Linked DNA regions of Caenorhabditis elegans. The protein of the gene in region 1 interacts with the protein of each later gene in a pairwise test. Each region holds a gene or a part of one and is shown in the gene's direction. Other genes may lie near its edges.

Region 1 (6,810 bases):
AAACGGAAAATTGTTTTTGGAATTAAAAAAAAAACACTATTATAACAAGATTTTCCATTCAAAAGTATAAAAACTATCTGAAATAGTGGAAAATTGGGGAAAAATAATAATTTATAATAACGAGATTAACAAGATTTTTAGATTTCAATCACAACACATTATGTAAAGATACCATTCGATTATTTTGAAACTACCTGAAACAGTAAAAATTGGGAAAAAAGTACCGACGGATAATAAAACGATCAGTGGCATGGCAACTGTTCTCCATATCCCATAAGATTCTTTAAGAATTACCGCAAAGCACCTGAGAAGTTGTAAATCGGTAATTGAGTTGTAAAATGCATGACACTTCAGGGGGTGGCAGAAATATAGAGAGATAGAGAGCGCAGAGAAACGAGAGTACTCTAGCTTCTCTGCGTTCTCTCAGTCCAAAATGTGGTCAGCTTTAGGTGCGTTGCGGTTGCGTAGCGGTTTTTCAGAAGTGGGTAAAAGTCGGGATTGACGGGAAAGTTACTGTGCAATAGAAAAACAAAATTGGGCTTCAAAGCGTTGCGGTCGCGTCGCGGTTTTTCTGGCAAGCATGCAAGTTTTCAAAATTCTTAAATATTTAATAAATTCCGGTTCCTAAAAATAGTTTTTTAGCTTATTCTAATTGTCAATTTAAAATTTAAAAATATCTTAAAAACTAAAAAAGCTATTGAAAAATCGCTAACCACAAAATTATAGAAAATTAAATTTTCCACAAATTCGCAGTTGACAACTTTTTCCAAATTTATCCGGAACCAAGATAGACGTATTAGAAGTTGGTAGTGGCCGAGGTTTTTCACCTCCACGGCCACAAGGCCAACACCCCCCAACTCATTATACCCCCGTGGTCCTAATGTGGTAACGCAATAATCTGTGTGTGCGTATGTTCAAGTACACATACCCCAAAAACTTGCGTAATTTCTTTGAATTTACCGCTATTCTGACATACGGAAATTTGAATATTATCGGGGGAAACGCGTGAAAACGTATTGAATGGAAAAAAATGTTGAAAATAATTTTAATTTTTTCGTGAAACTGGGAAATAATTTTCAAAAAAAACGTGTTTTTTTTTCAAAGTCGCCAACTAAAAATCAATAATCGAAAAAATCAGTTTCGAATTTTGTTTAAAAATTCCATTCCACTGAAACGAAGAAGAAGCCAAATGATTGCACAAGTCAGTTTAAGCCTGCCTGCCTGCCTGCCTGCAAAAAATGCTCCGAAATTTACAGCTCGTGCTTCCAATTCTTGTGATTTTCGGATCTCTGGTGATGAATTGTGGCGGAAAGAAGAAGAAGTCAGCAAATTCTCCGGAAGGAACAAATAAATCAAAGTTAGGGGCTCCAAAGGAGAAGAAGGATGAAACTGTGAGTTGTGTGACCGCGACGCGACCGCAACGCGACCGCAACGCATTGTTTAATTAATTTTGCTGATTTGGGATACGTACCACAGGTTTCTGCCTTCCCTCCTATTCTGAAATGTAAGAGTTTTGCCGAACTAGGCCATTTTGGCTCAGTAGATTTACGGGGCGTTGCGTGTCGCGTCGCGGCTCGGATTTGTCCGTGTGAAGTACACGACACTTTCCCACGCGTTGTCCGGCAGGCGATTGTCAATAGAGCGCGAATAATGCAATGAGGAAGGTCCTACTTTTAAAGAAACAATTCTGATTTCAGGAAGGCAACTACGAGGAGCTCGCCGTGCCACAATAATTTTCAGGATTCTCATTTTTCACTTGAATAAACCAGTTTTATTGGGATTTTTGTGTTAATTTTTGAATTTTTGAATTGGTGCCTGTTTCATGTGAAGCATTTAACAAGTGGAATTTACAAGGGAAAATTGTTAGCAAGTTGAAGTACGAGCGTTTTTTACAGAAGAAGTAGTATCTCCTCAGCCATTGTAGCTATCAAAAAGTTGTCAACTGGGAAAATATTTATAAATTTATGTTGAACATTTTTTTAGTTGGCAACTTTTCACTAGCTCCGATACTTTTTCAGTTATGGTAGTTTTTCGCGCAAAACTCCAACTAAAATTACCGATTTTTAAGTTTGAAGGCTTATATCTCCTTAGCTATTGAAGTTATCAAAAAGATTTTAACTATGAAAATATTGCAAAATTGATTTTAAACATTTTGTTGGTTGACAACTTTTTATTAGCTCTTACACTTTTCAAGTTATGCCCAGTTTTCCCCACGGAACTCCAAGACATGCCCACCTATTGCCACCTCGTTATACATTTAGGACCACCACCAATCTCTTTTGCGGTACATTATTCAACTAACAGCAGACGGTAGTTAGTTAGTTAGAGAACAACGACGCAACGATTGCGCCATTACAGTTCAAATCATCATAAAAAGAGCCGCCCGTCTTTAGAGACCCCGTGGGCAAATGGGGGAGGAGGCGGGTCTAGTAGGGCCTGTAGAGGTGTCCTGTTTGCGTGCAGACTTTTTCTCAGCATGCGGTAGCTCATAAGTTCCGGTGTAATAGTTTGGTAACTGTTGAGTAATACGGTTTTGGTTTTGAAAATTTAAAAAAAATTCTGTTTCAAAAAAATTTGTTTTATTATAATTTTTTTCAACTTATTACTGTGTTCTTTGGAAGCTTTTTCCTAAATTTCTAGCCATTTTCCACCAATTCTCCACCAATTTCCAGATTATTTCCAGATGATGACAGACATTCAACAGCAGCTGGCTGCCTCGAGAATGTGTGATTCGGATTCTATAAAGGCATTCAATCAGATGTACGCACAGAATCCGTATGGAGCAGGAGCTTTTGATAAGGTTTGTAATTTTTTTTGGAATTTTTCTGAAATTTGAAAAAGTAAAAAAATTTTTTTACTGTTTCAAAAATGCTTTTTAACAAAAAATTAAATTTTTTTCTTAGAACTACTCCGCAGCCACTGCTCTCCCATTTTTTGCTCAACATTTCGCGCCATACGCGAATCCCCATGCCACGTCATCTTTTTCCCCGTCATCGTCTTCCACGTCATCCACCACGTCGTCTCAAAATCAGCAGAGTGGCAGCAGTGGGAGTAAGAAGAAAAAACCGGTTCCGGTGCCGGAAAATCAAAAGGATGAGGTAAGAGATTAAATGGCCGAGAAATGAGAAAACTCGGCCACCAGAAAAAAACGGCCGATCTGCTAGTGTTAGATGTGGCCGAGAAAAAATGGCGGCCGAGGTTTCCTGGATTCCTTCTGCCACAGGGTTCTGGTTTTCCTCATTGAATGTTTCGCGCTCCATTGACAATCGCCCGCCGGACAACGAGTGGGAGAGTGTCGTGTACTCCACACGGACAAATCCGAGCCGCGACGCGACACGCAATGCGACGTAAATCTATCCCAGATATGGCCGAGCCAAAATGGCCTAGTTCTGCAAACTCTTCCATTTCAATTTATGAGGCCAGAAAACCGTGTTCTGCTATGAAAATTGAACTGTTTTTTTTAATTTCCGCTGGTTTTCAAAGTGGTGGCCGAGTTTTTTCTCTAATTTCACTGCCACGAAGTTGAAAAATTGATTTTTTTAAACTGAAAATAGAGTTTTTTTCTGATTTTTCAGTGAAAAAACGTTATTTTGGACCAATTTTGCTGATTTTTCTCGTATTTTGCATTTAAATCGAGATAAGTTGACAATTTTAATGTAAAATACAAAAAAAATCAGCAAAAAAGATCCAAAATAAAGTTTTTTAGCCGTATTTTTCTTAAAAAGGCGTATGAATTAAAAAGTCGTATGAATTTAAAAAGTCGTATGAATTAATAGCTAGCCACGTGTCGATTTACGGAGGCCGTGTACTCCTCGTGGAGTTGATTTCTCTGGGTTTTCGTTTGAAAAAAGTATTTTTATGCCAATTTTGCTGATTTTTCTTGTATTTAACGTTTGAATCGGCAATTTTTGAGTTAAAAACTATAAATTATGTCATAAAATGACAATTTACCATCAAAATCCAACAAAAATCAGTGAAAATTGGCCAAAATCAAGCTTTTCAGCCGTTTTTTTTTCTTCAAAAAACCAGTGTAAACTCTTCCACGAGGAGTACACGAGCTCCGTAAATCGACAGCTAATAGTCCAAAATCCTCTCGAATAAATCCAATTTTCCAGGCCTATCTCGACCGGCGCCGCCGAAACAACGAAGCCGCCCGTAAATCCAGAGAATCTCGCAAGAAAGTCGATCAGGACAATAGTGTTCGTGTAACATATTTGGAGAGGGTACGTTTTCAAAATTTCCCATAGATAATAATCCTTTGCATCATTTTTTTTGGCGGGTTTTTTTTTCCAAAAAAGGGCTTAATTGATGACGTCATCAGTCAACAGGTGTCAGCCTGGCTACGCAATAACTTTGAGAACGCGCCCACGCCGACTTTTCCCAATTTTTCAATAAATTTCGGGAATATCAGATGGCTTTTTGTAGATAACCGACACTTTTAAAAGTACTTTTTGATAGTTTTGCAAACGCGCTCTAGTGCACACGTACAGTAACGTTTGTTCCCTTAATGGTGTTCCACTTTTCGATATGTTCACCAAGAATGGTGTTGGAAAGATTTGTTGGTTTGGAGCAGTAGGTAGTGGACGCAGTTCGGTGTGAGCACTCGTTGGATCAATTCCAGGGAGTGGCTTTTCTTTTTTGTTTCGTTAAAGTTTAACTTTACTTTTTTTTCGGACTAAAAATAAAGAGTAACTCTGATAAAAGGCTTAGTTCTGACGGCATAAAATTTTTATCAATCAATTAATAATTATTTTTTCTCCAGGAAAATCAATGCTTGCGAGTCTACGTCCAACAGCTCCAACTACAAAACGAATCGATGAGACAACATTTGCTCCTGCAAAATCCGGGCACTATAGACACTATGGACCCGATTGCCATGGCGAATATGCCGAGTTATTAAGCTTCTCCCCTCCCACACAAAATCATCTCATTCTTGCACACACATTCAAATCCTTGCTTCTGTATCGAATTTCCACACACCACCCTCTCATTGCGTCACTTTTTTTTTGTAATTTTCTGTAAAAATATAGCTATTTTTGAAGAAAAATGCATTTTTTCAAAAAAAATAAATGAGCGACTACGGTAAGCAATTCCGAGTCTGCAAACACCGTCACGGCAGAATGCACAGAAAAACTCATTTTCAAATTATTTTTCGCTCAGTTTTCGCTAATTTCTCCGAATTTTCGCGTTTTTTCTTTAATTTTTGTTAGTTTTTGATTGTATTTTGTCGATTTTTCACTCTTCGAAGCTGTACCGACTGTAATTTGACACTTTCCGCACGAAAAAATGAGAAAAATCTCAGAAAATAGGTGTATTCAGATTTTTCCCCATTTTCCTCCGATTTTCTGGGCATTTTCTGGGCATGTTTTTCAAGCTAAATTCGCTGATTTTCGAGCTAAAGCAACTTTAAAATCCAAATTCTCTAATAATAAAACAGTTTTTCAGCTTACTCGACTTTTTCCCGGAAATTTCTGAATTTTGCTCATTTTCCGAGGTATTCGTGGATTTTCCTCCCGCTTTTGACCAGAATTAATGCTGAAATTCAATTTTTCAGCTAATTGTACCCTAAAATTGGACGGAAAAATGATTTTTCCATTATTTTCCCGGCAAAGCATCACCTGAGTGATTTTTACTACTTTTTCGACGGAATATATAACGTTTTCAGTAATTTCTCGTTAAATTTCCCAAAAAACTCGTTCAAAATGCTGGAAAAAGTCGAAAAAACTCGAAATTCCAAGAAAAACCAGTTTTGAATATTTTCCCGGGGGGTACGGTAGATTTCGTCGTGTGCAAACACCGTCACGGCAAATTGCACAGAAAAACTCATTTTCAAATTATTTTTCGCTCGTTTTCTCTGATTTTCTGCATTTTTTCATTTTTTCTATAGCTTTTTCATGATTTTTTCGGGTCTAAACATCTAAAAATCACTAAAATTGCATAATTCCGCCGATTTTTCAGCGCTTAGAATGCATTTTTCAGCAGGAAAGGAAGAAAATTGATTGATTTCCGTTAATTTTAGTTTCCAGATCACTTTTTGTGAGAATCGTTCGCTTCGGACTCCGATTTTCTCGTAAAAACCGCCGAAAAAGCCTTAAAAAAATGGAAAAATGTGTTTCTCGTCGTCCACAATATTTCAACAATAAAACTAAGCGGAAAACAAGAGAAAATTAAGGATTTCGCTCTCTCCACTGCATTTACGAGCGAGAAAAACCAATTTTTAAGCTGGAAAACGTGTGGAGACGCAGAGAAAACGGGCGCCCTCTCGATTTCTTTCTCTATTTCTCTCTCTCTGTCTGTTCGCTCAAATTTATGGGCAGTCGACATGCAATGGAATGGCAAAATGGATGGGAGCCGCGGCTTGACCGCAACGCGTCTGTCTCCGTGCGGCGCGGTCGCCTGTTTTTTTCCTATTATTTCCATTTTCTGCTTATCAGCTCCGTCCGTTATTCGCTTATCAGGAGAGTTCTAAATTATCACTTTTCGAGAGAAGTTTTTCGTTTTTTTGGTTGCAAGTTGTGTGCGTTTTCGTGCTGGGAAACGTTTTTTTTCCCATTTTTCGCCGTATTTCCAGGGGAAATTGTGATTTTCACACATTTTAACTTTGAATTTTCATAATTCCGGTGCATAGTCCAATCCCGGTCGTTTTCCATTCCATTTCGCAGGGAAATTGCTCAAATTTGACCAAAAAAACATCGAAATTTGAGTGAAATTTTCATTTTTGATGGAATTCCTGCATTTTCGCCGTATTTCAAGAGGAAACTGTGAATTAAAGCTAGATTTAAGCTAATAATCCAATTTCCCTGGTATTCT
Region 2 (6,532 bases), about 15 Mb from region 1:
AGAGGAAAACATTTTTTTGTTTGCATGCAATTTTTTTTTATGTGGCGATAATTTTTTGATGTTATATGTCGGTTTTGTTTCTGATAGGTTAAGGGTGCATAGGACCTAGCCAAGCCATTTAAAGCTCTAAGCCTTAAAGTCTAGTGTCTTTAGATCCTTCCATAACCACCTAGATCCCTTGAAGAATCTCAAAAGCCTTTCATTCAGCCACCCGATCAAAGCTTACGACATCAAAACCGAGCTTATTACCCAAATTTCGAAATTTTGTCGGTTTTGTTTCTGATAGGGTGTAATTGGTAATCTAGATGCCTTCAGGCTCTCCCGTTCTTCGCTAGATAAATAAAACAGCTTGATACGCCTAAACAGGAAGTTGCATCGCTCATACCTACAGTTCGACCTTTCAAATCTGAAGCTAAAGTCTAAGCTTGATCCGTTTGGACTAAATAAAAACTTTTAGCCCGAATGTATGTAGACCAAAATGTAGACTCCCTGTACTATATGTAGGTTCTGTATTACCCTGGCTTACACCTGTTGTTCATCTTCTAGCTCAGTTGTTTCTTACTCAAAGTCCTTGAGTTTTCTAGTCCAAAGACCAGTAGGCCCTAAGCCCAAGGAGGTCCAGTAGGCCCGTGAAGCTCAAGACCCCTTGACTTCAAGAATTTTCAACTCCAAGGTCCCAAGCAACCCCTACCCCCCCCCCCCCCCCCCGCTCCTAGTTTTTTTCCTCATTTTTCTGCCAGCCTAGTCTCTGCTAGGCAGGCGGAGCCAGTGTGCCGGTCGGTGCCAGCGCGGTGCGACGCGGAACGACAACAACAACAGAAGTTTCTAGTATTAGTCGTAGTAGTACTAGTTGGTCGACTGGAAAAGTACCTTGAGGTGTCAGAATTGCAGAGAGCCAAAGGTTGGCCTCAGGTCTAGGCTTAGGCTCAGGCTTAGGCTTAGTCTAAGGATTAGGCTTAGGCTTAGGCTTAGGCTTAGGCTGAGCAGGGGACAAAAAGAGAGCAAAAAGAAATCCCCAGAAAATTCAATAATTCTGAAAAAAACCTGACCTTTTCGACCGGTTTTTGGGCTTTTGGACTTAGAAGGCCTACACAAGATTTTTCTAATGCTCAAGTGTATGAAAATCGAACTAGCGTTTTTGATGCCTCGGTGCTTATCACCTTAGAATTCCTATGCCCGTGGGCTTTGTTTTTTTTTTGAATTTCTCAAGTTTGGAACTGAATGAAGCAATGCTTTTGCACCCCCGTTTCCCTTGCTTACTCGGTTCCCTGGTTCCTTGCACGATCCCAGACCACTTTTGGCTCCCCGGTTCCCAGGCCCCCCTTAGCCCCGCTGGTCCCGTACTCCTTCCGCTCCCTGCTTGTTCTCCGCGTCTCTGCCGCTGCCGCTGCCGCGTCGTCGTCATTTTCCAGGCAAAAACATATGAAAAGAGCCATGGGTGGCTCCAGGTGGTGACCCAGCACCGTGTATTTGTGTGTGTATTTCTCGATGCTTGCAGCAGCAGCAGCAGCAGGAAAAAAGAGTGAAATAGTGTGGGGGAGGTGTGGCAGCATGTGAATCATGGATAGATGGGGGGGGGGGGGGGAGGTTTTGTAAAGAAGACAGAAGAAAAAAGTAGAGAACATACAAATACAGAAAGATATGAAAAAAGTTTTTTAGTATGGTACTTTATATTTGGTAAAAATTCGAATAAATATTGGTCCTTCTTCAAGGATCCTTTGGCCAAACTTGGGGTCTAAGCTTAGGCTGAGGTTTGAGCTCAGGCTTGAGCTTAGGCTGAAGCTTAGGCTTGGGCTTACTTATTGAAACCCTATGAGATAAAATCCGGGTCCTAGGCCCAAATTAAGCCTATTCTGCCAGACGAAAGACCCATGGTTCTTAAGTTCCCATTGAGACCAGATCGGCCAATATTCAAGGGCCTCTTTTTGAAACTCTTTGAGATAAAATAAGGGTCCTAGATCAGGATTAGCGTGGCTAAAAATAAAGTACTTAGAGCCCTGTTTGTAAGCCTTCCAGCCTAAGTATGACCTGCAAGATTAGGGCTTTCATAGACCAAATCAAACTTTCAGACCGAAATTCAAGTCCCTATGCCTTTTTTGATACTCTTTATGATAAAATTTTGGTCCTAGATCAGAATTAGGGTTTCTAGGCTTTTTTTGCCAGACTAAACAGGTAGGAAACGTAACTCAACACTTGGACCATTTAGGTTATTTTTGGGGTATTGTGGCCCTTTTTGCTTCATAACTCCTTTTTGGGCCAAAACTAGAGTCTCTAGAACCCTGTTTGTAACCCTTTCGGGAAAAGTTATGGCCTGGCCAAGACTGGCCAATATCAATGCCTTTACAGCCCAAATCAAACGTTCAGACCAAAATTCCAGTCCCTAGACCGATCACCTTTTAGTCCGTAATTTGGCTCCCTACCTATAAAAAGTATAAACATGCCAAAATTAGGTTGCAAAAAAGACCCAGTCTATGATTTTTGGCATTTTAGACTCCGTTAGGCTGAAATATAGCTCAGGATCCTAACACTTAGACCTTTTTGACCTAAATATAGATTTCTCAATTCAGAATTTCAGTTTTTAGACCTCCTAGACCTATTTGAGAGAATTCTCAAAAATTGTGCGATTTCCCATACCCTTATCAATTTTGTGTTGTTTGGTGGTTTGTTGCTCCTTCCTTCTTCTTCTTCTTCTTTTTTGAATGTCATTTTTTCAACCACTGGTCATTCTTTTTCCCACACTCTGCGTCTCTAAGTGGCCAGCGGGGGGGCGCCCCGACGTGCCAGTCGACACCAGGAGGGGCGCGCGGAACGAGCCGATAGAGCGTGCGAGACGAAGAGACGCAGGCATTTTTCCGCAGTGCTCGTCGCGTCGCATCATGCCGCTTCCGCACTCCGCCGCGCGCGAGGACTCTTCGAGAAAAAGACGAAAAAACGTGAGTGAGTTTGGCCTATCTGGAGCTCTCTAGAAATTTCTGGGACCTGTCTAGGCTTGGACCCATCTAGGGTTGGGTTTGGGCCCTTTTTTATCAGTTTTCAAGTGCAACATTGAATTTCAAACGACACTCCGTTATCCCTCTAGTGCTTGATGTTTAGCCAATTTAACTTGAAGTTTTTTTTTAAAGAAAAAGTTCCAAATTTCGGGCCAACTCCCTCTAATCACAGATTAAATTATGAATTTAAAATTTATCAGCTTTGCACCACCGACCACCAAAACAAAATCGATTTCACCACTAGAAGCCTTCAAGTTTTGAAATTTACTAGTTTCTAACGACACTCCGCTATCCCCTAGCGCGCTCTGTTTATCCAATAATTTTTGGTGGGAATTTGAAATTTTACATGACTTTTTTGTGCATTATTACCAGCTTTTTTGCACAAAAAAAAAAGAGAACTTGCAATTTTTCAAACTTTCAAACGACGCTCCGCTATCCCACCAATCGCGCCCTGTTTATCCAGTAAGTTGTCTATTGGTAATAAATGTTTTATTCATTATTCTATACATTTGTAGTTGATATGTAACTAATATCGCTAAAATAAACCAAAATAAAAACATGGTGCATCGATAAGTTTTGCAAACTTAACTTTACCAGCTCTATATCTAAATTGTCTCTGGGTTTATAAAATAATTATCAACTGACAAAATATTGCTCACCTCTTTTTCTACATTAACCCGTGGAAAAAATTACAAATAGCATAAAAAGCCGAGATATTGGCTTGCCTAACATAGTTTGCCCAAAAAAAAACTCGACAAAAGTGACCAGTTTTCTCTGAAACAATGACCTGGTCATTTGAACTGGTTTCTCACCATCCCGTCACTCTTTCAATTGTCTACTTCTGTGTTTGGTTTTTTTTTGGGAGGTTGTTTTCATTTGTTGTTATATGGGAGAGAGAGAGTGAGGCTATTGTTTTATCTTGGGACTCCTCCTCTCGGAACTTTTTAATAATTGTTTCATTCTTCATAATTCCTTACATATTTTGGCTGGTTTTGGTTTTATCGGAATTTTTTTTTTTAAATTAACACTTCTTAGATAGAGTCTGTCGAAGAAAAGTTCTGAACATGGTGCATCGAGGCCATATTTCGGTTACGTTTAGTTAAGCTGTTTTTCATAATTTTTTCTACATTGATTTCATATGACTCAACTTTGAAGTGTAGGGCTCCTATGTAGGCGATAAAACGCCTACCTGCCTGGCCTTCAGGCGATCTCCGCCTGCCTCAATACTTATGCTAAATCATACGTGTTTTTTTTTTCTTTTTTTTTTAATTTGAAAATCATCAGTGTAAATACACCTAAAATGCATAAAAGGGGAAAAAGCAGGCAGGTTTCAGGCAGGCTTCAGGCCCCGCGCCTGCCTAAAATCTAGTCCATGCACCATGATCTGAAATCACTATCAACCCAGTTTTCAAAGGTCCTATCCACATTTTCCACCAATCCCGTTAATCCGTACTACATGTAGGTCAAACACATGGTTTTTGAAATCCAACTAGATATAGCCATAAATGTTTGTATGTGGTCAAAGTTTCTCTCTCATTTTTCCAACAAAAAAAGAACGCACACACACACATATGTTTGTATGTGGTGTCTACCTATTATTATCTATGGTTGGACGGGCATCATCATGTCACCGGCAGGCACCCATAGCTCCGTGCCAGGCCGCTTGCCGCCGCGCCGGCAGGCATGCGGTCACGCGGAATGGGTTACGAGGGGGTAACCTGATACCACGAGTTGGGGTGACCAGGGTATGTGATAAGGTAAAAGGTTACGTATTTGAGTATTTGAAAATAAAAGGTTAGTGATTTTGAATGGGAAATAGGAAACTTTGTGAAATTTAAAAAAACATGGTGCATCGACTGAAAATCCTTCGTCAGCTTTTTGACGTCTTGTATTTCAGTTGTGTTTGGTGTTATCAAAACATTGTCTAGTGACAAAATGTTTATTATAACCTTTTCTATAATAATGTAGTTTAACAATTTTTGATATCTCTTTAAAAAACCAAGATATGATCATTCAAAGTAAAATGCCAAGCACAACTTCATTGGTTCAAATCTTGGTTGTTTTTGGTTCAAAAATTGGCAACAGACAAAACATTTCTTATATCTTTCTCTATAGTTCTATTTTTAAACATTTTTTGATATCAGTAAAAGTAATCGAGATATAAGCTGTCAAAGTTAATCGGCAAAACATGGTGCATCAACTGTTACAGTGATCGTACCCCTATCGTAATTTTTCTGTAATTCTACAGTAGCCCTACAGTAATACTACAGTAGCCCTACCGTAATTTTTTTGTATTTCTACAGTAGCCCTACATTAATACTACAGTAATCCTACAATACCCCTCTAAAACCTCAAAGTTTTCATGTAGTAACTGAACCCCTCCAGGTGCAAAAATTGCTGCCAGGTGCAAAATTTCACGAGGTGTTCGGAAAAGTTTAGACTCCTTAAATGCTAAAAATCTTTTTGGACCCTTGGATTCTTTCACCTCTCCTCATACTAATATCCTACTCTTTCAAGACTACTAGTCCCTAGTCACCAAAACATAAATGACGAATTCCTACGTGCGTTCTTTTGCTCCTTTTGCTCCGCGCGGAGCCCACCGAACGCCGGAGCCAAAACAATTATTATATGCCGTGTGTGTGTGTTGTGTGTGTTCCGCGCGGATAAGAAGAAGACGCAGTTGAGAAGAAGCGTGCCAGTCGCCGTGTTTGTTTTGGCGCAGCGTCGTCGACGGGGTGGTCTTGAAGAGCGGCGAGGAGGCGCCTGGTACCAGTAGTCGGGGTGGGGTGGGTGAGGGCTAGGGCATCAGAGAAACCAGACGTTTTTTTTGTTCGCATGCTTCTTCTCCGCTGTGTGTTGTTGTGCTGCTGCCACCTCGAACGTCGGAACATCATGGCACTGCCTACCGCGTCGGCCGCCGCCCGGGAAAAAGAGAAACACACAACACACAACACCCTTCGAGGAGTTCAGTTTCTAGATCAGCTGACACAGAGTTGTCAACAAAAACAGAGAGCATCATCACAGAGACTGGCACCGCTGCTGCAGCTGACCACTGGGGCGGACGCCTAGGTCATTGTGCTCTGGAACTACCTAGTTGCTTCCCTGAAGTTTGAAATGCATAGGTGTTCAATAATCTTACTGTAATGCTATAGTCCGTGACTCCTCTATACGTCTTGTTCATTCATGTCGATGCACCATGTCTTCCTTCCAACTTTGACTTCTCATATCTTAGCCCAGATTGTAGATATCTTTAAATTTCTAAGTATCAAATCATAGCCAAGAATATAATACACATTTTGTTAGTTGACAACTTTTTTATAAAACCAAAGGTAGCCGAGATATAAGTTGTCAAGCATACCGACGATTCACCATGTCTCCCGTTTTTTTGACAACCGATATCTTGGTTCACATTAAAAATATCAAGAAGTGTTCAACTACGGAACTTAAGACACTATACTTGATAAATATTTTGTTAATTGATAACTTTTTGATAACACGAAACATAGCCGAGATATGAGATATCAAGGCTATGGTCGATGCAC
Region 3 (9,373 bases), 5.3 Mb from region 1:
TGTGTTGGCAAACAAGAAGAAGAAGGAGAAGACCTCGGATATATGGATACAAATGAAAAAGAAGATGTACATTAATATAGATCATGAGCAAATAGACTAGAGGAAATCATAAAGGAATGCGGGAAAATGAAGGATGTAATTCTGGATTTTCGGAATTTAAAAACGATGATTTGGCGTGTAGAATTCACATGTCGGATGTGAAAACGGAATTTAGAATCATTGGGATTACGGTATAGCTGGCAAAAAGCAATACACACATCAAAAAGATACATCTACTTTTTTGCCCACATAATTGAAATATTCAGTGTTTTAAATATTATAAAAAAGTAGTGAAAAAAGGATGTGTACCATCAAAAATTTAGAAGCAGTACTTGCAGGTCGGACAAGACGCCAATATAATTATAAAGGTTCTCTCAGGACTTACAAACAATTAAAAGGTTCGAATGAAATTCAAGTTTGAATAATAGAAACGTATCTCTATCAGACAACTAACAGTACAAAGTATAACAAATCACTTCACCCGTTTACTCCACTTCTTCCCAAACGAAACCCTTGTACTCTAATGTTTCCAAACTTTTTCCCATGTTACCTACTAACTTCACGACTACGGTAAACGGTAAACGGCTCTTTGCCAACTCAATGATGCGTATTCAAATCGACAATTATCTGTGTGGGGGCTTTCGAGGTATGTGTGACACGGGCGGTGCATGCGCGAAATCTAACGCCGCTCTGAATGAAAGAGAGAATGAGAATAGCTTCCGCTTATTATATCCTTCATATTATATGCCTTTGGCTATGACACCACTTACCTATAAACAACAAATAGCCGACATATGGTGTGACAAAACTTTAGCGCAAAACGTGGGAAGAAGATTAGAGGGAACAATGTGATGAACAGTCTGTGGGGAGCTCTTGTCGGCTTGAAATGGATGAAACCTAATAGTTTTTAAAGAATTCCGGTTCATAGAATTGAACAATAAGATGATCATCCCATTTTCTAGTCCGTGTTTAATTCCAGGTACATTTCAAACAATTTAAAGTTGGAAAGTTTCTGTCAGAAGTTCGATTAATTGATTCAGTGAAACTATAATTAGAAATTGAAAATAGAAATGAAGCGGTTTCCGTATGCTATCAAGTTTTTGTGCGCCTTGAAGCGGAACGTTCTGTTTCCTACGGATTTTGAAATTCTGTGAATACTAGGGATTCCACAAAATTCGCCTCCCAACGAGAGAAGTTAATGCCTACGTGATGAAAAATTGTTCACAAGTCTGATTGAAGCACTATAGAAAAAATATAAATTGTTTTGTCAGTTGATAACTTTTTACCAACTCAAAAGACAACTGAAACATAAGCTGTCCAAGTACATAGAGCGATGGGATGCAATACTATACGGAAACATGATTGTGATAAATAATTTACAATCCAATGTAACATTGGAAGATCTATTCATTTTACTTCCCCCCCCCCCCCCCCCCACCATTTCGCTAAGTTTTCCAAAAGTTCACACCTGTATGACCCTCGTCTGTCTATCTCTCTTCAACGACCTTTTCCTGCATCGTTCTCGATATTGCGTAAAATCCCAACACATTGTCTTACTCTTGGGTAAAATCGAGAAAAAAAAGTATTTTTGATTGCGTAAGCATCAAAATGAAATGCAGGTGTTCACCACTAAAATGAAATGGAGGTCATGTTCGTACCCTGTGGTACAAGCCACAGAGAGTTCAATTTATATGATGAGCATTTGAAGAATTTTATTAGGTTCTAAAATACCATGAGCCTGGCAGCTGGAAAAATATTTTACTGTTTTTTTTTTTGCTTAGAAACCTAATACTATAGACTACACTGAATTGGTTGTGACAACCTACTGAAGAACAAGAGGGGTAGAACATTAAATAACGAATCTAAGAATTTACAATCGGTGTTACAATGTTAAAGTTTTCAGCAACTAACTTCAAAGAAAATTAAAATTTTAATGAATCAAGGGATATTGGTTTTTTGGTTCGATTTTGTTCTGGCTCTCCGAGAGAGAACTATATGCCTGATACTGATATATAAAAAATAAAGTTGAAAATGAAGTTTGTAAAAAATACAGCTTGAAATTCGTCAGTTTTACGTTTGTGGTTCAAGCAAGTCTGGAACCTAGAGTTTCCCTAAAATAATATTTATATTTAATTTTTCACACGACCTGAAGTTTTCTCTCAAAACAGTCTACTACATATTTCACATAGAACCCCAGACTCCATCTAACTTTTTGCGGCAAAACTACCATTCCTCTGCTCAAAACTTTTGCTCCAATTCTTTTCATCATAAAGTCTTTACTGATGACAATGAATGGTCAAGTATTCTCAGGGATGTCGTCGGGTCTTTTGAGCTCTTTTGAGTCTTCCAAAACTCCTTCAACTTGTGCCTCCAAAAAGATTTGAGGAGGCATTCTGAAGAATGGGAGCAACAACGGCAAGAAGTGTGTGGTGATTGTGCGCGGGATGAAAAGAGAACAAAGTTTTTGGGATGAGGTGGATGCTCCGTGAGCAATAAAAGGATCCGACAGGAAGGGAGTTTTCAAGAGTAATATTGACTATATAGGGCAAATATAATAACATGACCAAGGATACAGAACTGTTTTCCGAAAAAACCAGAATCCCAGAAAAGAACCACTTCTTAATTGAGAAAGTTTCAAAATTTGTTCAAGTCAAACTGCAGATAAAATGTATTGAAATTAAATAAAAATTGAAAACTCCGAGTTAAAGTTAAATTAAAAGATGAGTAGAGTGTGGTCAATCATAGTGGTTGCTTGAAAACTTCACACACTAGTAAAGTTTACAGTGGTCTAGGTTTTCAGATTTATAGTTTTCCAAAATAAGTTAAACATTTCAACTACAAGAGCACCTCAGTTAGATTTTCTGTACTCTGAACAATGTTACTTGAGCTATTAACATAAAACTACCACTCAATTGAATAATTTGGCATTCACCTGGATACTATGAAAACAAAAAATTGAATATTTGAAAAACAGTACACTAGAAAAACTCTCAAAATCAATCAGGGCGTGGCTTATTGCATCGTCTACAGTATCCCTCAGAGTCGTTTCTCTTCGCTTTCTCTCCGTCGGCTGTCAGTGGTGGTCGCTAGCTCCGCCCATGATTTGACGACGTGACTCGCCTTCGCCTTTCCGACTGCCTCTCACTCTCGCCTTAAGAAGAGAGAATTTGTCTTTTGGGAATCTGTGTGCTCAATATTCCGGAATTCTTGAATTAATGAATCTGGCGCCAAGAATGATGACTGCGGTTTCACAGATGTCGGTTCCAAGCAGTAAGTCAATTTTAAAAAGTTAATCGTCAACATCTAGAATCAGAAGATGAAAACTTCTACTTCGAACTTTCTTGGAAAAATGAGCTTTCTTAAACTTCCAGGCTTTAGCTGTAGAAAGCTTTTTTCCAATTCCCAACTTCAAAAGAAACTCAGATTTTAAAATTGGGATCTTGAGCAATTAATAAACGTAGGATGAGTTGCCCGGTGGGCATACTTCACATTCTTAGCCACATAAAATTGTTATTTTCTCATTTTAATTTCAATTTCAGAGTAGATTATTATTAATTTGAAATATTTAGGGAAGAATTTCCTAAAAATGGGTTTGGAAGTGCATAATATCGAAAAAAAAAGTGGGAGCTTTTTTGGCAAGATACATACGTATAGGATTTTGATACCTTCACAAAATTTTGAAAACCCTATGAAATACTCCTGTTTTTTTTTAAATATTTTTTTACTACCCATTGTCTTCAAATTTAACAAAATCTGAACCTTGACTTCTTCCATGGGATAAATCCATTAATATACAAACTACAGTAAATCCATGTATCTTTATATATGAGTTCTAGAAGCCTTAGTGCAGATGGGTTACTGTAGTTGTACCTAAACTAGTTTGTGTGAATGAAGAAAGAAAATGAAGAAATGTCTAATGTGAATATCATAATTTGAATGCATATCAATTTCAGTGTGAGAAAAAATTTCTAACTGAAAAATTAAGACATTATTTCAGAACCCTGATTTCAGAACTAAAAAGTCACATAAAACTTTCATAAAAATTCCTTTTTTTTTCCTAATCTCCCCGGCACGAGAACTCCAATAAGTAAAATAGGAAGTCATTAAACATAGTGACTCAATATTATGGTAGAAATGATTAGGTGTGAATTATGAGTTAGGTGATGGAATTAGTACAAGAATGGAAGAGTTTCTGTGGGAGATGCAGGTGTTTCGGGTCAATTGTGACACGTGGCACCTGTGGATTTAGCACCATTTAGCTAGAACTAGAATTGATTTGAAAGGTCATGATGTTAAATAAAATTAATTTTTTAAAGTCATACGAACAACATCAAAACTAATACTCAATATCCAAGAAGTAGAAACTCAATTTGAAATATTGTTCACTTCTTGCCTTTTTCTTTCAACAAATCCATTTCCATTCTGCCTTCATTCTCTTTTCATATTCTATTAATTAGGCAGGCAAGAGACACAGGAAGTGCTGAATAATTGGAGTCTCTCCTTCTTGGCTTTCTTGATTTCCTCATTCTATTTCACACCTAAAAATGATTATTTCTTCAGGTCGAATTCTATTGGATGTTGATTGTAGAGTCTGTGAAGATCATTCGTCGGGGAAGCATTACAGTATTTTTTCCTGCGACGGGTGTGCTGGATTCTTTAAAGTAAGTTTTAATGTTTATTGAGCTCTCATTTTTTAGATAGCTTAAAATATTCGAATTTGAGAGTAAATTTTAGTGGAAAATTTTTAAAAAAGTATTATCTAGACGCGAAAGTTTCCCATTTTTGCTCTAAAAATACGGTAACCGGTCTCGATGTGAATTTTTTTTATTAAACGGGAAAAGGTATGTGCCTTTAAACTGTACTGTAATTATGTACTCTCGTTTCTGCCGAATTTTTCTCCTGATTTATTAAAAATGTATGTGTTACATCTGAATTTTATTAAAAAACATATATTTTTATCGAAAAACCATCCAAAATTCGACAGAAACAAATTTATTGAACTACAGTACGTTTTAAAAGCGCACACCTTGGTTAGACAAGGTACTAATTTTTGCTGAAACTAATTGTTATATTATTGAATTTCCGGATAGATAAAAATGTGTTAATCTTCAACAAAAAATGTCTACAATCATTTTGCAACATTAACTTTGTTCTGCTCCGATTATAATGTATGTCTAGGATTTGAGACCTCATGAAATATTTTTTCAATGTGAATTGACTTTCAAATTTCCTTAGCATAATTATCATTGAAATTGAACAACAATTCCAAATTTCAGCGTTCAATCCGTCGTCATCGTCAATACGTGTGCAAAAACAAAGGCAGTCCATCCGAAGGACAATGCAAAGTGGACAAAACACACCGCAACCAGTGCAGGTGAGTTCTTAACGGTCACAGATTAGTGTTACGATCCCCTTTTATGCTCTTTACGTTCGAGTCCATACATTGATTGATGACACTTGGAGAATTTCAGAGCTTGCCGACTAAGAAAGTGTCTGGAAATTGGGATGAACAAAGATGCTGTCCAACATGAGAGAGGGCCTCGTAACTCAAGTTTAAGACGACAACAGATGATGTTCGATCATGGATCCTCTCCTAATTCGGTATGTGTTTGTGGGAATCTTAAATTCGGATATGTTACAAGGACAAAATATTTAATAATTTTAATTAAATTTATCGATTCTAATTTAGTTTTGAATTCATAATGACTTTCAAAATAGTTCCATTTAAATCTCATGATTACCGATCTTTCTCTTTCTCACTCACAAAAATCAGTGACTAAAGTGAAGTGAAAAAAGGATTTTGAGTAGAATTAGTACAGTAATCCGCAGGTGGATTTTGGTCGAGTTGACACCGACGCGGCGGCGACGAAAAGTAAAAAAGGTGAAAAGTTGTCGGTTGCTGTACAAATCTACAGTACCACCTGACAGGTGATTTGTCACTCTTGAACATAGTCAAACATTTTACTGGCGAAGGGAACACCTAGGATATAGAGCATGGTCAGAAATATGATTGCAATGAATTGCAATTTTCTACAACACGGTAACTTGGTTGTTGCCGGAAGTGCTGAGTATTCGTTAAGTTGGCAATTTTTTGAATTGGCAATTATCGAAGAATTAAACAAAACATTTTAATTTTTTTGTGGTACGTTTTTCTCAAAACGTCAAATTTCAAAAAAATATCCTCTAATTATCAGTTAAACACCAAATACGTGCCAAAACCGTGACAGATTCTTTAAAAAAGAGCACCTTGAAAAATCAGCCAGTTTCAAAAACTTGTGAATATATGTGTATTCTGGGGCAGATGTTTTAATGTTTCTATTTGTATTCGGATACAAATTACTCAATAATATTGTGCTCTTATGGATCTTAAGTGGGGACAACATAGTGTCAAATGATTATGTTGCATAAGTACTTGTTAGGGACAGCTGATTGGAAGAATTAGCAAATATCGTATACAAGAGGAAATTATGTCTAAAATTTCTATAATTAACTTTCAGTGAAAAAGTTAATATTATTAAGTAGATGATTTTAATTTTCCTTCATTTCAGCCGGAAATGGGATCAGAAAGTGATGCAATAATTCTTCCGACATCATCAATGAATCGTGACACAGTGGCCGGTACTGCTGCTCGAATCTTTTTTGCACTTGTTGGATTTTGTCAGAATCCTTTGAATGGAGTACCTAAAGAACGGCAAATGACAATGTTTCAACAAAATTGGGCAGCACTTCTTGTTCTCCATGCAACTGAAACACGTGCCATAACTTCTAAGCAAATAAGGACTGAGACGATATCCGGTAGCTCAGAGCAAAGAAATGCGGTATGCAGTAATATGAATCTGAATATTTTGAAAAATTAATGAATGTTCAGGTTGCTAACGCGTTTGAAATAATTGAACGTTTACAATTGGATAATAGAGAATACATGATGTTGAAACATTTCACAATGTGGAGAGATACACCAAGTGCAATTCAAATTGTCTTTCAGTTAGCATCTATTCAGAATTTCACACATAGAACCGAACCGACGAGATATATCCAGTAAGTTCCTTTTTTTATTTTTTTTTTCAATTTTCTTATTTTTGGAATAATGTGAGACTTCACTATAAAGGTAAACGCTGTTTTTCTGAGTGGGTTGCAACGATCAAAGTTAATTAAATATTGTATTTGCTAGTTTGAAGGTTGCTAATTCTTTTTTAAAATTAATTAATTAACCAATTGAAAAAGTTCATTTATAGTTTTTGTACGATTATCCTATTCAAAAGTTCATTTTTCGGCTCAAAATATAAAAAATTCCACAATTAAAAAAGCAGTGTTTTTTGTTCTCACAAAAAATGCAAATTATTTCCTATTTGCTTAAAAAGCGAAATTGATTATTGAAAACTAATGAAAACTAAACGCTCTAGTACCATCTTTCCTTCTGAAAACTTCACAGTCTGAAACCTATTTCAGATGTATAAATGCAATTGCCGCTATTCCAACAACTTCAATAATTGATGTTCTATTCCGCCCTTCAATTGGATCAGCTTCAATGCCAAGACTTATTCAAGACATGTTCAAGCCACCACAACAACCCACTCCTACGTCACTGTTTCCAATGGCAAACTTCAATTTGAACTTTCTATTAAAACAAGAAAAAACCGAAACTGAAGAGGGTGAAGATATTGAAGAAGAGGATGATGCGACGAGTAGCAATCAATTTGATGAAAATTCTTCTACTGATGATAGGTATGATGAGCATTTATTAGTACAGTGGATTAACTGAGTCTGTTGCAGATCTGTCGGAGAACTGGATCCCGTTCAACTTTTCTTGGCTCTTAATTCCTCAACTCAGCCTTCATCGGCATCATCCCCTTCCTCTTCAAGACCACGTCATTCGATTCGATCAATAACTGAATTATTATCAATTCAAGAAGAAGAGAGTGTTAATGTTGAAGAGGTTTAGATAGTAAATTCATGTTTCATATACAGTAACTCAATTATTCTAAGTATCTCTTTTCATTGTCTTTTTCACTCCGTTTCTTGCCTCGCCCGGATTTTCATTGGATTTTGATTTATACTTTCAAAATTTCATTTTTCAATTGTAAATTTTTAATTTAAATTTAGAGAAAAAAAATGGTAAGCTTTAAAACTAATTTATTATTTTCTGATTTATATTGTGAACAGATGAATAAAACGTTTACAACAATGGCAATTGGCATACAAACATCATTAAAAAAAGGTGAATCATACAGTTTTGAGAAGACTACATATGATTCGAAACATAAAAAACAATAGAAATCAATAAATGATGGGAGAGAAACCGAGAGATTTATTGGAAAATGGAACGGTTGAATGTCATATTGTGTCATCGTCGTTTTCCTTGTTAATGGCCTCGTTTCTTATCATATCCATATCATTCTGATATTCCCATTCAACTAGATGACCAAATCATTAGCTGACTGATTTCCCCCTTTTTAATGATTTGTTTATGGTTTTGTCAATAGTTTGAACGCGTTACGTTTTTGTAGATAAACCTGATTATGCTAGAATATTTTTTATTGAGATTTATTGACTAATTTAAAGTTTTAAACTAACAGAACAACAACCAATATTATAAAGAAAATGCTTTAAACTCATTTTTGAACATCCAGAACATCCGAAAAATAACCAACATGGTTAAGATTTTTCAAAGTTTTTAGTCAAAGTTTCGGTATCTATTTGCAATTTTCAAAAAACATGGAATATTTTCAGTAATTGCTTTTTCGAACTCCCAGACTGTTTGAATACAAAAATTGAAAAGCAAGTAAACAATAAAAAATTGTAGATATTTTTTCAAAGACTTTCAAAATTATAGGCGTAGGCTTCACTAATTTTTGACTGTCAGTAAAATATTTATTTCAAAAAAATTTTAAAAGTTTTACCATAATATTTGGGCATGGGCATTTTACTTTTAAAAACGATTTCTAAAGAAACCATTTTTATATGTAAAACAGTTTTGCTCAATTTTACCAGTTATCAAAATTTTTCAACTGACACATATTTTTTATAGTTTTGAAATTAAAGATTCTTTAAATATTGAACTAAATTAAACTTAAAAACAACTTTAAATATTGTGCAACGAACAGAGAAATGTGTAGTCAAAGTATAGTAATGTTTTACAATCACAACAGTGGAACTATGGAAAAAAATCTGTTTAAATAATGATTTTACCTATTTTATGAAATTTTAAAGATATACCCAACATCTGCAAATAGACACTTCTTATTAGACCAAGTGTTCACTTTTACTAATCATCTGTGGCATTTCCAAACATTTACATCTGATTTATTGCCTTTTCCTCCAATTAACTTGAAGA

What was found.
Region 2: the proteins of zip-7 (region 1) and znf-782 interact in a two-hybrid assay, tested with the Caenorhabditis elegans proteins (one large-scale study listed by BioGRID).
Region 3: the proteins of zip-7 (region 1) and nhr-67 interact in a two-hybrid assay, tested with the Caenorhabditis elegans proteins (one large-scale study listed by BioGRID).

Annotation. Positions count from the first base shown.
Region 1 is NC_003282.8:16,501,543-16,508,352, reverse strand, and holds zip-7 (BZIP domain-containing protein), read left to right. Parts: upstream 1-2,670; 5' UTR 2,671-2,683; coding exon 2,684-2,800; intron 2,801-2,903; coding exon 2,904-3,098; intron 3,099-4,115; coding exon 4,116-4,223; intron 4,224-4,762; coding exon 4,763-4,900; 3' UTR 4,901-5,443; downstream 5,444-6,810. Other genes in the region: Y51H4A.935 (uncharacterized protein), read left to right, coding at 1,190-1,201, 1,257-1,391, 1,698-1,733.
Region 2 is NC_003282.8:1,063,883-1,070,414, reverse strand, and holds the start of znf-782 (C2H2-type domain-containing protein), read left to right. Parts: upstream 1-2,889; 5' UTR 2,890-2,933; intron 2,934-6,532.
Region 3 is NC_003282.8:11,166,562-11,175,934, forward strand, and holds nhr-67 (Nuclear hormone receptor family member nhr-67), read left to right. Parts: upstream 1-3,186; 5' UTR 3,187-3,272; coding exon 3,273-3,309; intron 3,310-4,599; coding exon 4,600-4,700; intron 4,701-5,315; coding exon 5,316-5,413; intron 5,414-5,510; coding exon 5,511-5,640; intron 5,641-5,848; exon of another isoform or gene 5,849-5,978; intron 5,979-6,587; coding exon 6,588-6,857; intron 6,858-6,907; coding exon 6,908-7,077; intron 7,078-7,488; coding exon 7,489-7,764; intron 7,765-7,812; coding exon 7,813-7,981; 3' UTR 7,982-8,230; downstream 8,231-9,373. UniProt on the Caenorhabditis elegans protein: Orphan nuclear receptor that binds DNA containing an extended core motif half-site sequence 5'-AAGTCA-3'.